Arabidopsis thaliana: one gene and its partner. The gene in region 1 interacts genetically with each later gene. Each region holds a gene or a part of one and is shown on either strand. Other genes may lie near its edges. The genes, in order: KINESIN-13A and AN.

The links.
Region 2: of KINESIN-13A (region 1) and AN, changing one suppresses a phenotype caused by changing the other (phenotypic suppression), as found in Arabidopsis thaliana (one study listed by BioGRID).

The regions. Positions count from the first base shown.
Region 1 is NC_003074.8:5,661,405-5,670,001, forward strand, and holds KINESIN-13A (P-loop containing nucleoside triphosphate hydrolases superfamily protein), read right to left. Parts: upstream 6,548-8,597; 5' UTR 6,164-6,547; intron 6,093-6,163; 5' UTR 6,011-6,092; intron 5,912-6,010; 5' UTR 5,858-5,911; coding exon 5,669-5,857; intron 5,223-5,668; coding exon 5,001-5,222; intron 4,602-5,000; coding exon 4,422-4,601; intron 4,311-4,421; coding exon 4,209-4,310; intron 4,058-4,208; coding exon 3,980-4,057; intron 3,736-3,979; coding exon 3,654-3,735; intron 3,518-3,653; coding exon 3,355-3,517; intron 3,108-3,354; coding exon 2,778-3,107; intron 2,586-2,777; coding exon 2,367-2,585; intron 2,277-2,366; coding exon 1,706-2,276; intron 1,595-1,705; coding exon 1,529-1,594; intron 1,439-1,528; coding exon 1,256-1,438; 3' UTR 971-1,255; downstream 1-970. Other genes in the region: TOC120 (translocon outer complex protein 120), read right to left, coding at 1-334; TCTP (translationally controlled tumor protein), read right to left, coding at 8,305-8,422, 8,516-8,597. UniProt on the Arabidopsis thaliana protein: Internal motor kinesin involved in trichome morphogenesis. Participates in regulating the formation of Golgi-associated vesicles.
Region 2 is NC_003070.9:185,276-191,371, forward strand, and holds AN (NAD(P)-binding Rossmann-fold superfamily protein), read left to right. Parts: upstream 1-1,869; 5' UTR 1,870-1,959; coding exon 1,960-2,547; intron 2,548-2,735; coding exon 2,736-2,901; intron 2,902-3,008; coding exon 3,009-3,139; intron 3,140-3,253; coding exon 3,254-4,045; intron 4,046-4,141; coding exon 4,142-4,189; intron 4,190-4,286; coding exon 4,287-4,400; intron 4,401-4,489; coding exon 4,490-4,561; 3' UTR 4,562-5,197; downstream 5,198-6,096. Other genes in the region: AT1G01500 (Erythronate-4-phosphate dehydrogenase family protein), read left to right, coding at 1-734, 1,065-1,298; ASG4 (Homeodomain-like superfamily protein), read left to right, coding at 5,321-5,553, 5,666-5,723, 5,863-5,983, 6,066-6,096. UniProt on the Arabidopsis thaliana protein: Involved in controlling the equilibrium between tubular and stacked structures in the Golgi complex. Required for cortical microtubules (MTs) arrangement that confers cell shape.

The DNA of each region.
Region 1 (8,597 bases):
CTTTCGTAGTTATACATTGCTCGTTAACCTCACCATGGCTCTCTCCAATCTCCGAATAATTAACCTTTAAATTTTCTACTCCTCTCTCATTTCTACTTGTTTCTTCCAAATCACACACTTCATCATTGGAAGCTAAAGGAAAATCCTCTTGCAACACATCGGTTTTGAGAGATTCAGGTTTTAGACCCTCCTGCGAACCAATTGCTTCCTCAAAGACCTCTTCTTCATTATCCTTCACTTCATCAGATCCCACCAACTCACTAATTCTACCATCCTCTGCAAGCTTCTTCTCATCCCCATATAACCTGGTTACAATCTCAGCCCCATCTCCCATTTCTAGGATCACCCAAAATCACGAAACACTGCACCAACCAAATTTTGTATCCTCGTTACTTTTAAATCCACAAGACACTAAATTAAATGGGAGTGAAACTAATATTTTCCAAATCGTAGGTATATTTTGCTCATAGGAATTCAGAAAATACAAAGAAGAATCTATTGATATTGAGGAGAAAAAGTGATGGCGAGAATCTAACCTGGTTAGAGAAGGCAAAAGTCTGGAAAGAAAAAAAAACAACTTCATGCGCTTTTTTTGTATTTGTATAAATCGCCTTTTACTCGCCTGCGACAGTGCGACTACGACGGGAAGGAGAAGGAGATAAGCGACTTTCATGGACGGTTTAAATCGGTTTGGGTTTTAACATCGGACGGTGGAAAATGGCTCTTATATTGCAATCGTGAAAAAGGCATGTCACGTGATCAATAGTAAAGTGTGGGCCAAGGCCTTTTTAGTTGGGCTGCATAATCTTGTTGGCCATTTTATCTTTACGACAAGAGAGAATTGCTTTATTTGTTCTTTTGGAGCTATTCAACTGTCTTTTCATTGGTTGTCACTATATAGATGGTATTTGAAGATCTTATTAATTGTTAGAAATTTGATTTTATATATGGCTCACCAAATTTTGAAACATTTTCAGATGATAAATGGTTTTATACTTTTTCAGTTGATTGATAAAAGAGTTTGATTCACATTGACAGTATCCAGCTTTCTGGGAGGATAGAGGAGAAGAGAAAAATAAGAAACACAAAAGGTATAACTTTATAATAAAGATTCAAAAATAAAAGGAAAGAAATGCCCAAATTCACAAACATGAAGGACATTTCTGTCATTCTTTGTCATATATAAGAAGAGATCACCCAACCAACCTTTCACACTTAAACAACACCACACTTTTGGTTTTCCTTCTTCTACCAACTACCGAGGAACTCTCTTACGGCTCAGTATTTCTTGTTCCTTGAGACGGTGTTGGAACCGAGCAAGCCTGGCTTGAAGACTGACTAGCCCTGCTGCTTTCCGGGACAACACAAAGCTCAGTTGCGTCACATAGTTTTCTATCATGCTTCCCGGTTGGTCCACCTCCGCTAGAAGTTTCATTTCCTGATAATGATATAACAGAAAAGAAAATTGAATGATGTGATAACATTCTACAATCGTTTTTTGTGCGCTGCAATGATGTGATTTACATACCTCGCGAACAATCTCCATTGTATCCTCAATTTCTTTTCTGTGCGCTGCAATCAGAGCTTCTTCTTCCTGAAAAAAGTCATGTGATGGTTACGATAAGACATAAACAGAACTACCGTTACTTGCAAATCAAATTCACAGCTTCATCTCATGTTTTAAAGGGATAGGTGAGTACTTTACCTCAAGCAGTGCATCGAGGTTTTCATCAAGCGAAGGGTCGGTTTCATATTGCCTTGAAGCGGTTTCATATTGCCTTGAAGCAGTTTCACTTGCGTTCTGTCTAAAATTTGTCAAGGTAGGGATATCCGACGAACTGACATCTCTTTTAGACCAATTTTGTGGTCTGTCTGGTTTTTCTTCCCGCAACCCTTTCCCACGAGGTGGTGACACTTTCTTTACTTTCTCTTCACGGTCTGAAGTTTCTTGGGGATATGAAGAAATGTTGTTTCTCTGACTAGTGGAGCCAGCAAAAGAACTGTTCGGCTCTGATCTTCCCTTGTCCATTGAGAATGATGGGATTCCACTTTCCTCTCGATAATTTGTAGGCTGTCTGAAGTCAATACCCGACGTACTGCTGTTGCTGTCCTTCTCGACCACCCTCCTCCTGGTTTCTGGTACATTCACTTCCTGTGGAGGCTCAAAGACATCTTCTACATCATTTGGGCCCAACAAAGGATCCTTATTAACCGGAGGCATTGAATTCGCAGTTTGATCTTTCTTGCTATTTCCACTTTTAGATAGACTTTTGACTCTGTTTATTCCATACATAACCAACAGAGGTTAATAGACGATGAAATTGAGAATTTGTTTCACAAGAGGCTATAGTTTGTACAAAACATACCGATCAGCATATCTTAGAGTATTGAGGGTATGTTCACACGATCCTGCATTTGGAGAGATGCAGGAAATCATCACCGTTCTTGAGTTTCCAACAAATGAGTCACGGAGCACTTCCGTTAGTTTGCTTCCACGAAATGGTATATGTAGCTGGTCATTGTCCAGTGCACGTATACATTCCTTAAGAGCCAAGAGACTCTTGTTGATTTCTGCGCCTTCAATCCTAAGAAAAATCCACAATGAAAACAATGAAGCATTTAGATCTGAAGTGTGGTGGTCCTAAAGTAAAAAGGTAGCAGCAAAGTGCCACTTTATCAATGCCCACAAGTCCAACAGAGGCATAAATTTTAATCTACACATTAGTGGTAGGTCAATTCTCAAACTACTCAATCACAGGGGCAAAGAGAATCTTTACCTTGTCTGGCGATCATTGTCTGTGGTGTCTGCACCTCTTTCACTGCCAGCAAGGTCAATGAAAGAAATCTTTCCCACAACTTTCCCAGGCAATTCATTACTATCATTATTCCTCCGTCTAGTGTCTTTTACCTCAACATGCTTTTTTACAACAAGCTGTAGGATGGCATGCGATCTAGAAGATTCCTCATTTGCTCCAGTTGAACCTGTGCTCCTTTCGGCATTTCCTTTCTCGATAAAATCCTTTACAATTTGTACATCTGAAACTTCATATTCTTGCAGGCCAACAATGCAAACTTGCTGTCTACCATCTTCTCGCATGCAAAGTTTCCTACTCGGCAATAACTGAATGATTTAGACAATGGTAAACATGCATTTGCGATAGTAGTAGACAACAATGGAAAGTATTGACACTGATAGGATGAATAAGTGCCAATGTTTACGATATACTGACATCGAAATAACAATTATAAGCTAGTATATGCCTGAACAAAGTATATGCCAAAAGAAAAGGAAAACATAAAACCCCTCAACAAAGACGACATTTATAAGAAATGAGAAAAAGAAAGAACACTAACTTTCTCTCACTGAGAAGATCGAACAGCTTTCCACCATATATCTCAAAATAGCTGAGCCACAATTTAAACCTCTGATTGCTGTATACTGGTTGACGCAACAACCTCATAAGATCTTCAACTGCTCGTATAGGTAATGGTTTCATTGTAAATGTCTTACCACTACCTGAATAAGCAAAACATCATTAGGGCCATGAAAGCATGAAGAAACTATTAATCTATTATCCTCTAAAAACTGGAATCTGTTAGCAAGAGTATAACTATCAGTGTATTTCCCAATGAACATTAATGTCATTGCATACCTGTTTGGCCATATGCAAAGCATGTAGCTTTAGTTCTCTGGAAAATAATGGGAATTATTGGCTCAATTGTGGCCCGATACACCTATTCAAGGAAACAAACAAACATGTTCAAAGCAGCATAAAGCTTCTGTATATATAAAAAGCTTAATGTATCCATACATCAATCCAATCTGGATTGGGGGAAACCACATGCTATGATCTAGTTAATAGGTCAATCAGGTATGTCGACCTTGACATAAATCATAAATCTACCAAAGCTCAAGGTTGCATCACGGACACCTAATAGGATTTTCTATGGTTTCCAATAAGCTCAATTCTTAACTTACCTCGTCATTTGAAACATCCTCATCTAGAACAGCATCAAAGCAGAACTCATGCTTTTCCACATAAGCAGTCAAATCAACCTGCACCAACAAGATTACGGTTCATTCAATATTCGAAAAGACAATATTAAATGAAAAGAATATATGACCTTTAATAGCAGGATGCCATCGTTCAGTTGTTCAACTGAATCATGTTTGCCATTGTTATCTATGATGAAGAATGCACACAAACCTTCACTCTGGGCTCATGGACAGTCAAAGAATTATCAGATACCGTCACGACATCCTCCTCCTTTTTAGCTGTTTCTTTCTTGTTTAGGGGTCTTTTCCTTACCTATAGACAAAAAAAAAAGTGGTTTCCCAATCATCCCTAGTCATAATGAACGTTGCTTATAAAACAATCAAGTAGTAAGGAAACATGTCAGTTCTCAAGTGAATGACCTACCACTACTTTAATCTTGGCTACACTGTTATTTTCTTTATCACTTTTAGGCAATAAACCCAAAGGTTCAGCTTCTGTCTGTTGCCGCTGTTGACGATTAGCTGCCAAATTATAGTCTTCTTCAAATTCTTTATTTACACTAGGCATGAAAGGTGACGGCTCAAAGGGTTCGGTAATCACATGCTGCAAAATGAAAGGAAAGTCACGTATCATAAAAGTTGGTAACTTTCACATGGATAATCGCTTTCTTTATGAACTAGCAAATGCAACAAGCAGTTATTTAGCTCAGATGCTTTTCTAATGACAACAAGACCAAAACTGTCACATCTCGCTAAATCCATTCGAGTGTCAAGATCAGAAGTTGCCTACAGAAGTCTCGCAGATAGATTACATGTGCACAAAGCCAATGGATTAGGTGGGACTCAATATGGCAATGTAAGATTGGCAAGAACAGTTTGAAAACTGGGATGTAACACAAGAACAGACAATCTGATGATGAAAATTTATGATCTTTCTGTTATCCATGGGCACTAATGAGTAACTATGAATAAGTCTTTGCACTAGTTCTTCTTCCAAGCATACCTCAGATAGAAGCTCTGTATCATCCATTGCATGAAGATCCAATAATCCTGCTCCAAAATCACCTCTGAACTCAGGTGAAAAAAATCCTTCCGAAGAGGGCATAGCTGCTGATGTGTGAGCAGTTGGTGTATATGATTCAGAAGTCGACTCCCCATTAAAATTGAGATTTCTCATTAGTTGGAACAGTCTTTGTTTCTCTTCAGCAGTCTGAGCTCCATAACCCTAGCAGATACCGCAAACACCACAAAGGATGCTTCAAATATCAGAACCCGTTCATGCGAATTATACAAGAGCCAAGGCAAAAGTTTCTATAGAAATTTACCAATCGAAGAAGAAATCACTAACAACCCTGCAGCAAACATCTAACTTAATCACATTACATAAATGGCCAAACAAATTCCAAGCTCTCCTTGAGATACGTTATGACTAATATCCATAACAGGGAGAAACAATCCTACATTCCTAATTTCCTACTGCAGCGTTTTTAGTAGTCTAACACCAAATGTGCGCAGGAATTAGCGACCGAAAACTCTAACAAAACTTGGCTATCTGCGTCTAATACAAAATTTGCATACTTTACCAAGCTAGGGCAAACTCCATCAAGAAAACTAAAGGGCATGCAAAATATTGGAAGAGTACAGAAACAAAGAATCAGGGAAAGCAATTACCTGCATGAGAAGGTTTGGGAGGTGACGCTGATCATTGCCTGTAGAAGCAACAGGAGACGCCAAATGCTGCAAACCAGCGGATTGAAGCCACCGTGCCATGACTGCATCTCCTGCGTCATTAGTGGGTAAAGCCCCATCGTAAAGCGCCGTCGCAGCCGCAGCATTGTTTTGCTGCATTTGGCCGCCCATGAGGCGCTGTGATCTTCTTTGAGGAGCCAACTTCGGAGATCTGTAAAAACAACTCTTCATCCATACAAAAACCAGAATCACCCATTTGTTACAAATCAAAAAATTCCTAATTTCAACAATAGAATGTTAGATTCAAATCGAAGAGAAACTCACAATGTGGAGAGAATTCGGATTCAACACAGAACATGAAAGCGGAAATGTACAGCTCCCGACTTTGCTTCACCTCCTTCAAAATCTGAAATTCAATCAATAAATTGCATCCAATAATCGGAGAAGAAGATCGATGTTATCCAAAGTAATGATTACCAGAAGGAAACGAAGACACGCAACGGTGTTAGATAAGAGATCTGAGATCTGAGATTTTCACAATATACAATCAGATCCGACGAGTGAAGAACCCTAATTTACGCACATCGAATAGCGTTAGAGATAGAGAGATAGAGAGATAGAGAGAGAGAGCTTCTGTTCAAAATTTTCGTCTTCTTCCGTAAGCGACGTTAGGCGCAGAGAGATGAGAAAGAGAGGGGCGTTGAAGAAGATTTGACAAAGTATAAGACACTTACACAATAAATTAAAAAGTTTGAGGTGTTTAAAAGTTTTTTAAAAAAGTGACAGTTAGATCACCCTTTAACTTCAGAAATATTCACCGATTTGTCCTACTTTTTAAGATTGTACAGTCTAGTCCAAAACATTTGAAACAATCTTCTTTGAACGGTCTTATATATTCTAAAAGATAGTGTTGAAATATTATTTTTTTGCTGAGATCGTGACACAAGGACATATACCAACATGGTGACATAAAAATAGAATTGATGTTCTCATCTTGAATCATACGGTATGAATCTCATACCTTTTTGAGCAGATTGCATAAACATTGATTGGTTTATTATATATGTAGTATAACTAATAATATAACCTTGGTGGGTTGATCAGTTATGTGCATTTTCAGATTTTAGCTACTTTATGGTATTTAAGGATGTTGTTTTGGACCATCTATGGTAATAGAGATGAAATTTGAAATTGTCCGAGGAAGATGACATGAGTTTTTCTCGACATGAAATCCACAACTTTTGGAATTTTAGTACATGACAATGATCTAATCTTATATATTCTTATGTTTGTTTAAATTTTTATACGGTTTCAAATTTTGAATTGTTTAGATGTGCGAATATAAGTGAGTGTATATCAAAAGTACCAATCTTGTGTATGTATGTGTACTGTTTAAACCCCAAAAAAAAGTGTTAATCCAATAAAATATACGAACGAGAATATGCAAAAGTAGCGAAGTGGGGCTAATACAGCTTGTGGGTTCCTTTCTTTTGAATCAAAAAGCTTTTGCTTTAGCCTAAAGCATTCCGATCTAAAGGATTCCTGATTTTAAGTAATCACTATATAAACCAGTATGAAAGGAGCTTTTCCTTTATTTATCCTTCCTAAAAACATTGGTCTCTCTAGTTTTGTGTAAGTTTAGATGATCTACCTCCTTTGTATGGCTACGTCAATATAGTCATATAGATAGAAGTTGATACTACTTGTTACATAAGAAATGTTTAAATAGTGTAGGCTAAAAGCCTAAAACGAAAGGAACAACAAAGTTTGAAGAAATAATGACGATAAATACATAAGATACAAGAGAGTTGGAGCAACGTCAAACCGACCAAGACCAAATCACGTTTCCTTTTACGTGAGACACAAATACGTACCAACGCATTTTGGTTGCCCTCTCATCCATACGGACACCACACATACATAAATAAATAGTTCGAATAATAAAACCAACAAACTAAAAGAATAGTAAAGCATAGGATAGGTTGTGTTGTTTGTCAAAGTAAAAGAATACACATAATACATTATTATTACGGCCACATTGTGATTTGTCTCACAACTAAAACCAAGATGACAGAACTCTAGTTAGTATCGATTCCGCACGTGAGATAGAAATCCTTGATAAGGAGCAGAACATGCCTATGATGATGTCTCAAGACATCATGTCTGTACGAAACTTTTTCTTTTTAAAGGGATAAAACACCATTAGACTAAAGTCAAAAGAATCATTCTACAGCATATTCCATGATTTAAAGTTACTAACAGTTAGAGTAACCCACTCGTTTATTCACGTCCATAAGATCTGAATCCAAAATTATTAGACATCTACTATAAACATGCCTCGAGATTCGGGAGTTTAATTTAGAAAAGCAAAGCTGAAGAGATATCACACCAAATAACACAAAAAGTAACGACCAAAATTCAACTAATTGTAAATGATAAACCGTTTTTTGCGGAATAAATAACTTGAGAATCTTCCAACACAGAAAACAAGAAGAGAGAAAAGTAAACTGGCAGGTAATTTTAATAGGGGACGACGACGAAACACAGGACAATATAAAGAAACATAAACTTAGAGAGTCGCTGCGACCGACCACAGTAACCCAACGAGAGCTTCTCTCTCAGCACTTGACCTCCTTCAAACCATGAGCGAAGTACAAAAATGTTGGGTTAGTTGAACCCTCCTTGTAGTAAGCAAAGACCAAAGTGCTGTCATCATGCATACCCTCCCCAACAAAGCTGTAAAATCAGACAACACAAGCATTGATGAGATTTCAGATGAAATATATGTCATGTATAACAAGCAAGATACGATAGATTGGGGTAACTTACAATTGGAAGTCACTGAGCCTGGGGAGCAAAAACTTGGTAGCTCCCTCAATACCCTTCTTGAAGACAGCTTGATCTTCTTCGC
Region 2 (6,096 bases), on another chromosome or scaffold:
ACCTTCATCATCTGGATCCTCTGGGTACAACCAAATCGTACCACATGAATACCTCCACCGTATCGCCGCCGTCTCCGGCATCATCAATTTCGTTGTCGCAATCGGCGTGGCTGGAGGTTCGTTTGTTCTACGTCCGTATCGCTCCTTGCGTCGTTGAGAACGTCCCTGACTTCCTCACCCTCCGTCACCCTCGTCGCGAAACCGGTGCTTCTCTTGAGGTTAACGGCGTTCGCGTTCCTTCGTCGCAGACGGCGTCGCTTAAACTCCGCCGTGACAGAGTCGACCGGGAATCGTCGGAGGTGACTTACGTGAGCACTGAGACCGTTCGCGTTACCGGATGCGTTGATTTCGAGGTTTATGATAACGAGGATATGGTCTTGTGTGGGAACCTAGATAGAATCGAAGGTGCTTGGAACAATGGAACTGTGAGTGATCCCAAGACTGGATGGGGCATGGATTGTTACATTGCTATGGGAAACGGACACGTGTCAGGTCCTTCTGCCTCTGTGTTTTTCCAGCCAAAGTTTGGAGTCTCGTCTCCGTCCGTCGAGGTTTATATAGCTGGTTGTTGTGGTGGTGTCCCGGTGATATTGACCAAGACGATTCAGGCGAGTCCGAGGAGGAAGGTGGCTAGGCACGTGACACTCGACGCTATCCCTGAGGATGAGGAAGTTGGCAAAGAGCAAGACATTGGTACCATTGGTGATGAATTGGCCCGTCAAAGCAAAGTACAGGTATGATTCTGATTTCACAATTCTCTGTTTGGTGATTGTCCAAGCCCTTAAGTTACGATTCTTAATAACTTGGGATTGAGATTTGAAAAGGTTGCTTCTTTCGTCTAGTTTTGTGAGTTATGAATGCTGTAGCAGATATTTAGTTATTAAGATCACTCGCAAGTTTCTGGTGAATTTAGCTCCTGCTTGAATGTTTTCTTTGACTCTACAGCTGAATTTGAAAATTGTAGAATTGTTGACTGATCAGAAATTGAGATATGGATATAGGTCAATAGACTCTCTTTGCACTTTTTTTGGTGCTTTATCTTGTTTGTCGTTTCGTTTATGCAGATGATGGAATCAGAAGTTGATGAATACGATGACTCAGATATGAAAATGGCACAGAGATATTACCCTGAAGGAATGTACGTTGATGAGGATGGTCAGCTCTCATGGTTCAATGCAGGAGTCAGAGTCGGAGTTGGGATAGGCCTTGGGATGTGTCTTGGTGTAGGCATTGGAGTTGGATTACTCATGCGTTCGTATCAAGCAACAACTAGTAACCTTCGTAGGAGGTTTCTCTGATCATCACCTACCATAAACTAAAAACCCACTTAGACATTTCGAGATCTACTAAGAATGTCGGTAACGTAGTGGGTTATAAAAGAGATAGAATTTTGGTAGATAGATGTATAGAGCTTTTGGTTTTCACCTGTTTGTGTCCTTTTGAATATATATATATATTCGGCTCTGTTCATATACTTTAGTAGCACAAAAGAGAGTTCCCATCTTGCTCCAGTCATGTTCTTTTGTTCTTTCTTTTCTCAAGTCTGTCTATGTCGTTGCTCTTGTGTAGAAAGAGATTTCGTGTTATTGTTGTTGTTGTCAAACGCTGGAGTTTGTCTTTCGGTTTCTGGTCAGGAAATAATGTGGAATAGGGAATGTACATGTTTCACCTGTATTCAGTATCTGTTTGCAATTAGTAAATTAAATTATTACAACAAGCCAAGTGGAAGACGGCGTCGTTTATCATAAATGTCAAACCGATGACGTCTTATCGGGGGAGCATGAGCATTGGACTAAAAAATTATTGTCAATTTGTTTAAATTGTATTTTGGGCCCTGAAAATTATTATAAATGAAATTTAGCCCCTTAATTTTGTAAGAGTTTACAACATTGAACCCTAAATCATTATGTTCCCAAAATCAAAATTTCACTCCTCGAGAGTAGCGAGAAGAAGGAGGAGATGAGCAAGATCCGTTCGTCTGCGACAATGCCACATCGCGACCAGCCGTCACCGGCGTCGCCTCACGTCGTTACACTCAACTGTATAGAGGATTGTGCGCTCGAGCAAGACTCCCTCGCCGGCGTTGCTGGTGTCGAATACGTCCCGCTCAGCCGCATCGCCGATGGTAAGATCGAGTCCGCCACCGCCGTTCTCCTCCATTCCCTCGCGTATCTTCCACGAGCAGCTCAACGCCGACTCCGTCCTCACCAGCTCATTCTCTGCCTTGGCTCTGCTGATCGCGCTGTCGATTCGACTCTCGCCGCCGACCTAGGTCTCCGACTTGTCCATGTAGATACTTCACGAGCCGAGGAAATCGCGGATACCGTCATGGCGCTCATCCTTGGACTCCTTCGACGGACGCATTTACTCTCGCGACACGCTCTATCGGCGTCTGGTTGGCTCGGATCGCTTCAGCCTCTTTGCCGGGGAATGAGACGGTGCCGTGGTATGGTTTTGGGTATCGTTGGCAGATCTGTATCGGCTCGGTATTTAGCTAGTAGAAGCTTGGCTTTCAAGATGAGTGTGCTCTACTTCGATGTCCCAGAGGTATGTTTGTTGGCAATGTCTCGCTAAGCTTTTAATATCTTAGTGTAAACTGACTCTTTAGGGACCAAAAAAAGTGCTGAGTTCTTAGCTACTACATTCCTAAACTGCTTACTATGATGGCTCTCTTTCAAGTTCCTCTCCCTTGGATGTTATATTTGTTGTCAATAGTTGCGTTTGCGTCTGTTCAGGGAGATGAAGAACGAATCAGGCCCTCGAGATTCCCACGTGCTGCTCGAAGAATGGATACATTGAATGATCTTCTAGCAGCAAGTGATGTCATTTCGCTACATTGTGCATTAACAAATGACACGGTTCAGATACTCAATGCAGAGTGTTTGCAGCATATAAAACCTGGTATGAGTTTTCTTGTCAAATGAAATTTGATTCTCCATGAATGTGAATTGAAGATGAACTTCTGCTTTCTCGCATTCCCTTCAATTCTGGTTGATTTTATGTATTAGGGGCTTTTCTTGTAAATACTGGAAGCTGCCAGCTGTTGGATGATTGTGCTGTGAAACAACTTCTAATTGATGGCACTATAGCTGGCTGCGCCCTTGACGGTGCTGAAGGTCCACAATGGATGGAAGCATGGGTATGACTTTCTTTTCCAGTGACTAAACTTCACATTTGCGCCTGCCTATTCTCTTGTTTCATCATCTTCTTCTGTTGTTTATCCTGCATCCATTATATCTTGTTTTCATTGCAGGTGAAGGAAATGCCAAATGTGTTAATTCTACCTCGCAGTGCAGATTACAGTGAGGAAGTATGGATGGAGATAAGGGAGAAGGCTATCTCTATCTTGCATTCATTTTTCTTAGATGGTGTAATTCCAAGTAACACTGTTTCTGATGAGGAAGTTGAGGAAAGTGAAGCAAGTGAAGAAGAAGAACAATCACCTAGCAAACACGAGAAATTAGCAATAGTGGAATCCACCAGTAGGCAACAGGGAGAAAGTACTCTCACCAGCACTGAGATCGTACGTAGAGAGGCTAGTGAGTTAAAAGAATCTCTGAGCCCTGGTCAGCAACACGTTTCTCAAAATACTGCCGTAAAACCTGAAGGAAGACGTAGCAGATCCGGTAAGAAAGCCAAAAAGAGACATTCACAGCAAAAATACATGCAAAAAACGGATGGTTCCTCAGGGTTAAATGAAGAAAGTACTTCACGAAGAGATGATATTGCTATGAGTGACACAGAAGAAGTATTAAGTTCCAGTTCTAGATGTGCTTCTCCTGAAGATTCCAGAAGTAGGAAAACACCTCTTGAAGTAATGCAAGAGTCTTCCCCAAATCAGCTTGTAATGTCAAGTAAGAAGTTCATTGGAAAGTCAAGTGAGCTACTGAAAGATGGATATGTAGTAGCCTTGTATGCGAAAGACCTCTCGGGCCTCCACGTTTCCAGGCAAAGAACGAAAAACGGTGGCTGGTTCCTCGATACTTTGTCCAATGTATCCAAACGAGATCCTGCTGCACAATTCATTATCGCATACAGAAACAAGGTAAACCTTTTTCTCTCTCTTACTTTTCATTTATCTTGCTTACAATGCCAGATAGACCATTATAAATTGGTTTTGGTGCATGAACTTGTTTTCCAGGACACTGTTGGTCTGAGATCATTTGCTGCTGGTGGGAAGTTACTGCAGGTAGCTCTTACATTAGAGAGTGTTACTTCCATTGGTAACTCAATGTTGCTCTTATGGAATCTAAAAGTGGTTGTGTCATGGGTGTGTGTGTGTGCAGATCAATAGAAGAATGGAGTTTGTGTTTGCTAGCCATAGTTTTGACGTGTGGGAGAGTTGGAGTCTAGAAGGTTCTCTGGACGAATGTCGGCTTGTTAACTGCAGGAATTCCTCTGTAAGTCTCTGTCCTTACAGAAAATGGCCCGAAATTGAAAAACCCTACTTCTTGGAAAACAGAAATAATTTGTGTAATGAATGTTGCAGGCGGTGTTGGACGTTCGTGTGGAGATATTGGCAATGGTAGGAGACGATGGTATCACACGTTGGATCGATTAAAAAGAAAAACAGAGTCTCTCCATTTGTGAGTTTCTCTCTTTTAATTACTTTTGTTACTTTAACATCCTTAGGATTCACAGACGAAAAACAGAGACACCCAATTTTTGTGTTTCGAGACTGTGTCGTGTGTTGTGTAGTTGGTATCAACCAACTTATATCTGTAATCATTGTTTCTTTTTATTTATTCTCGGTTTGCAGAAACATCCGATGAGCTTGTCTTAGAGGGACGTTTGTTGTTGTTTTCTGGGTCTGGTCGTGATGAACTCGAAAGCATTGTGTGTTTGGTTAGTAGTTTGAAATAGGTGTGTGTATTGTATTTGTATATGCTGCGTTTGTGTTTTAGAGATCATCGTACATAAAACACATCATCGTACATAACTAAAATTTGAGCTAAACTACAAAAGAAAGTAACCTTCATTTTTAGTCGAACCAGGCCCCAGCTAGGCAGCTATCTCGTAAATAAGATTGCTGGCTTACGATCGTATTCCACGTGGCAATTTATGTGCCGTGGATTTAAATTTGTACGTGGCATGAGTGTTAGGAGAATGTCCACATGGCTTGTAGTTGTTAGTCCCACGCTCTGAACCAGAGCAACCGGCTCCTTACACGTGTTCGGCTTAAATCCATTTTTCGAATGAGATTACACTTCTAACCTTGTCTCCCTCTCCCGCTTATACCACCACCACTCTCACACAAGTCTCTCAAGTCACAAACTCTGTTTCAAACCAAAAGGGAACTTTGTGTGTGTTGTCGAGTTTTATGGTGACTGTAAACCCTAGCCAAGCTCATTGTTTGCCTATGAAAATGAGTCTACCGGGTTTCAATACTCTTCCCCACACGGCAACAACGATACCGGTTTCCATACGGAGCAATAGGACGATGTCGTTTTTTGAGGATCCAACAAAGAAGGTTAGAAAGCCTTACACTATCACCAAATCTAGAGAGAACTGGACGGAGCAAGAACACGACAAGTTCCTTGAAGCCCTTCATCTGTATGTTGACACGGATTTCACTTCTCTGCCTTCATTTATCTGATTAATGATATATAGAATCTTTGAGATTTGTTCTTCTTCTTCTGATATGATCATGTCTATTTGATTGCAGATTTGACCGGGATTGGAAGAAAATAAAGGCCTTTGTTGGATCAAAAACAGTGATACAGGTAATCAATCAAACATATGCATTCCATACTTTTGTCTGAAGTTACATATAAGTAATTTTATGAACTCTGTTCTTTGGGGTGGAATTGGAGATATAAGTTCTATGTATGTTGGATAGTAACTAGAATATTGGTTTTGTAGATACGAAGCCACGCACAGAAGTACTTTCTCAAAGTTCAGAAGAATGGGACTAAAGAACATCTCCCACCTCCTCGACCAAAGAGGAAAGCCAATCACCCATATCCACAAAAAGCTCCTAAATGTGGCAACCTTAAACCTTTTATCTTTCTACTTCCGCTTTTGTTACTTTATCTCATTTTCTCATGGTTATGTTTTTGATGCAGTTACTCTTTCTTCTTCAAACGCATTATTTCA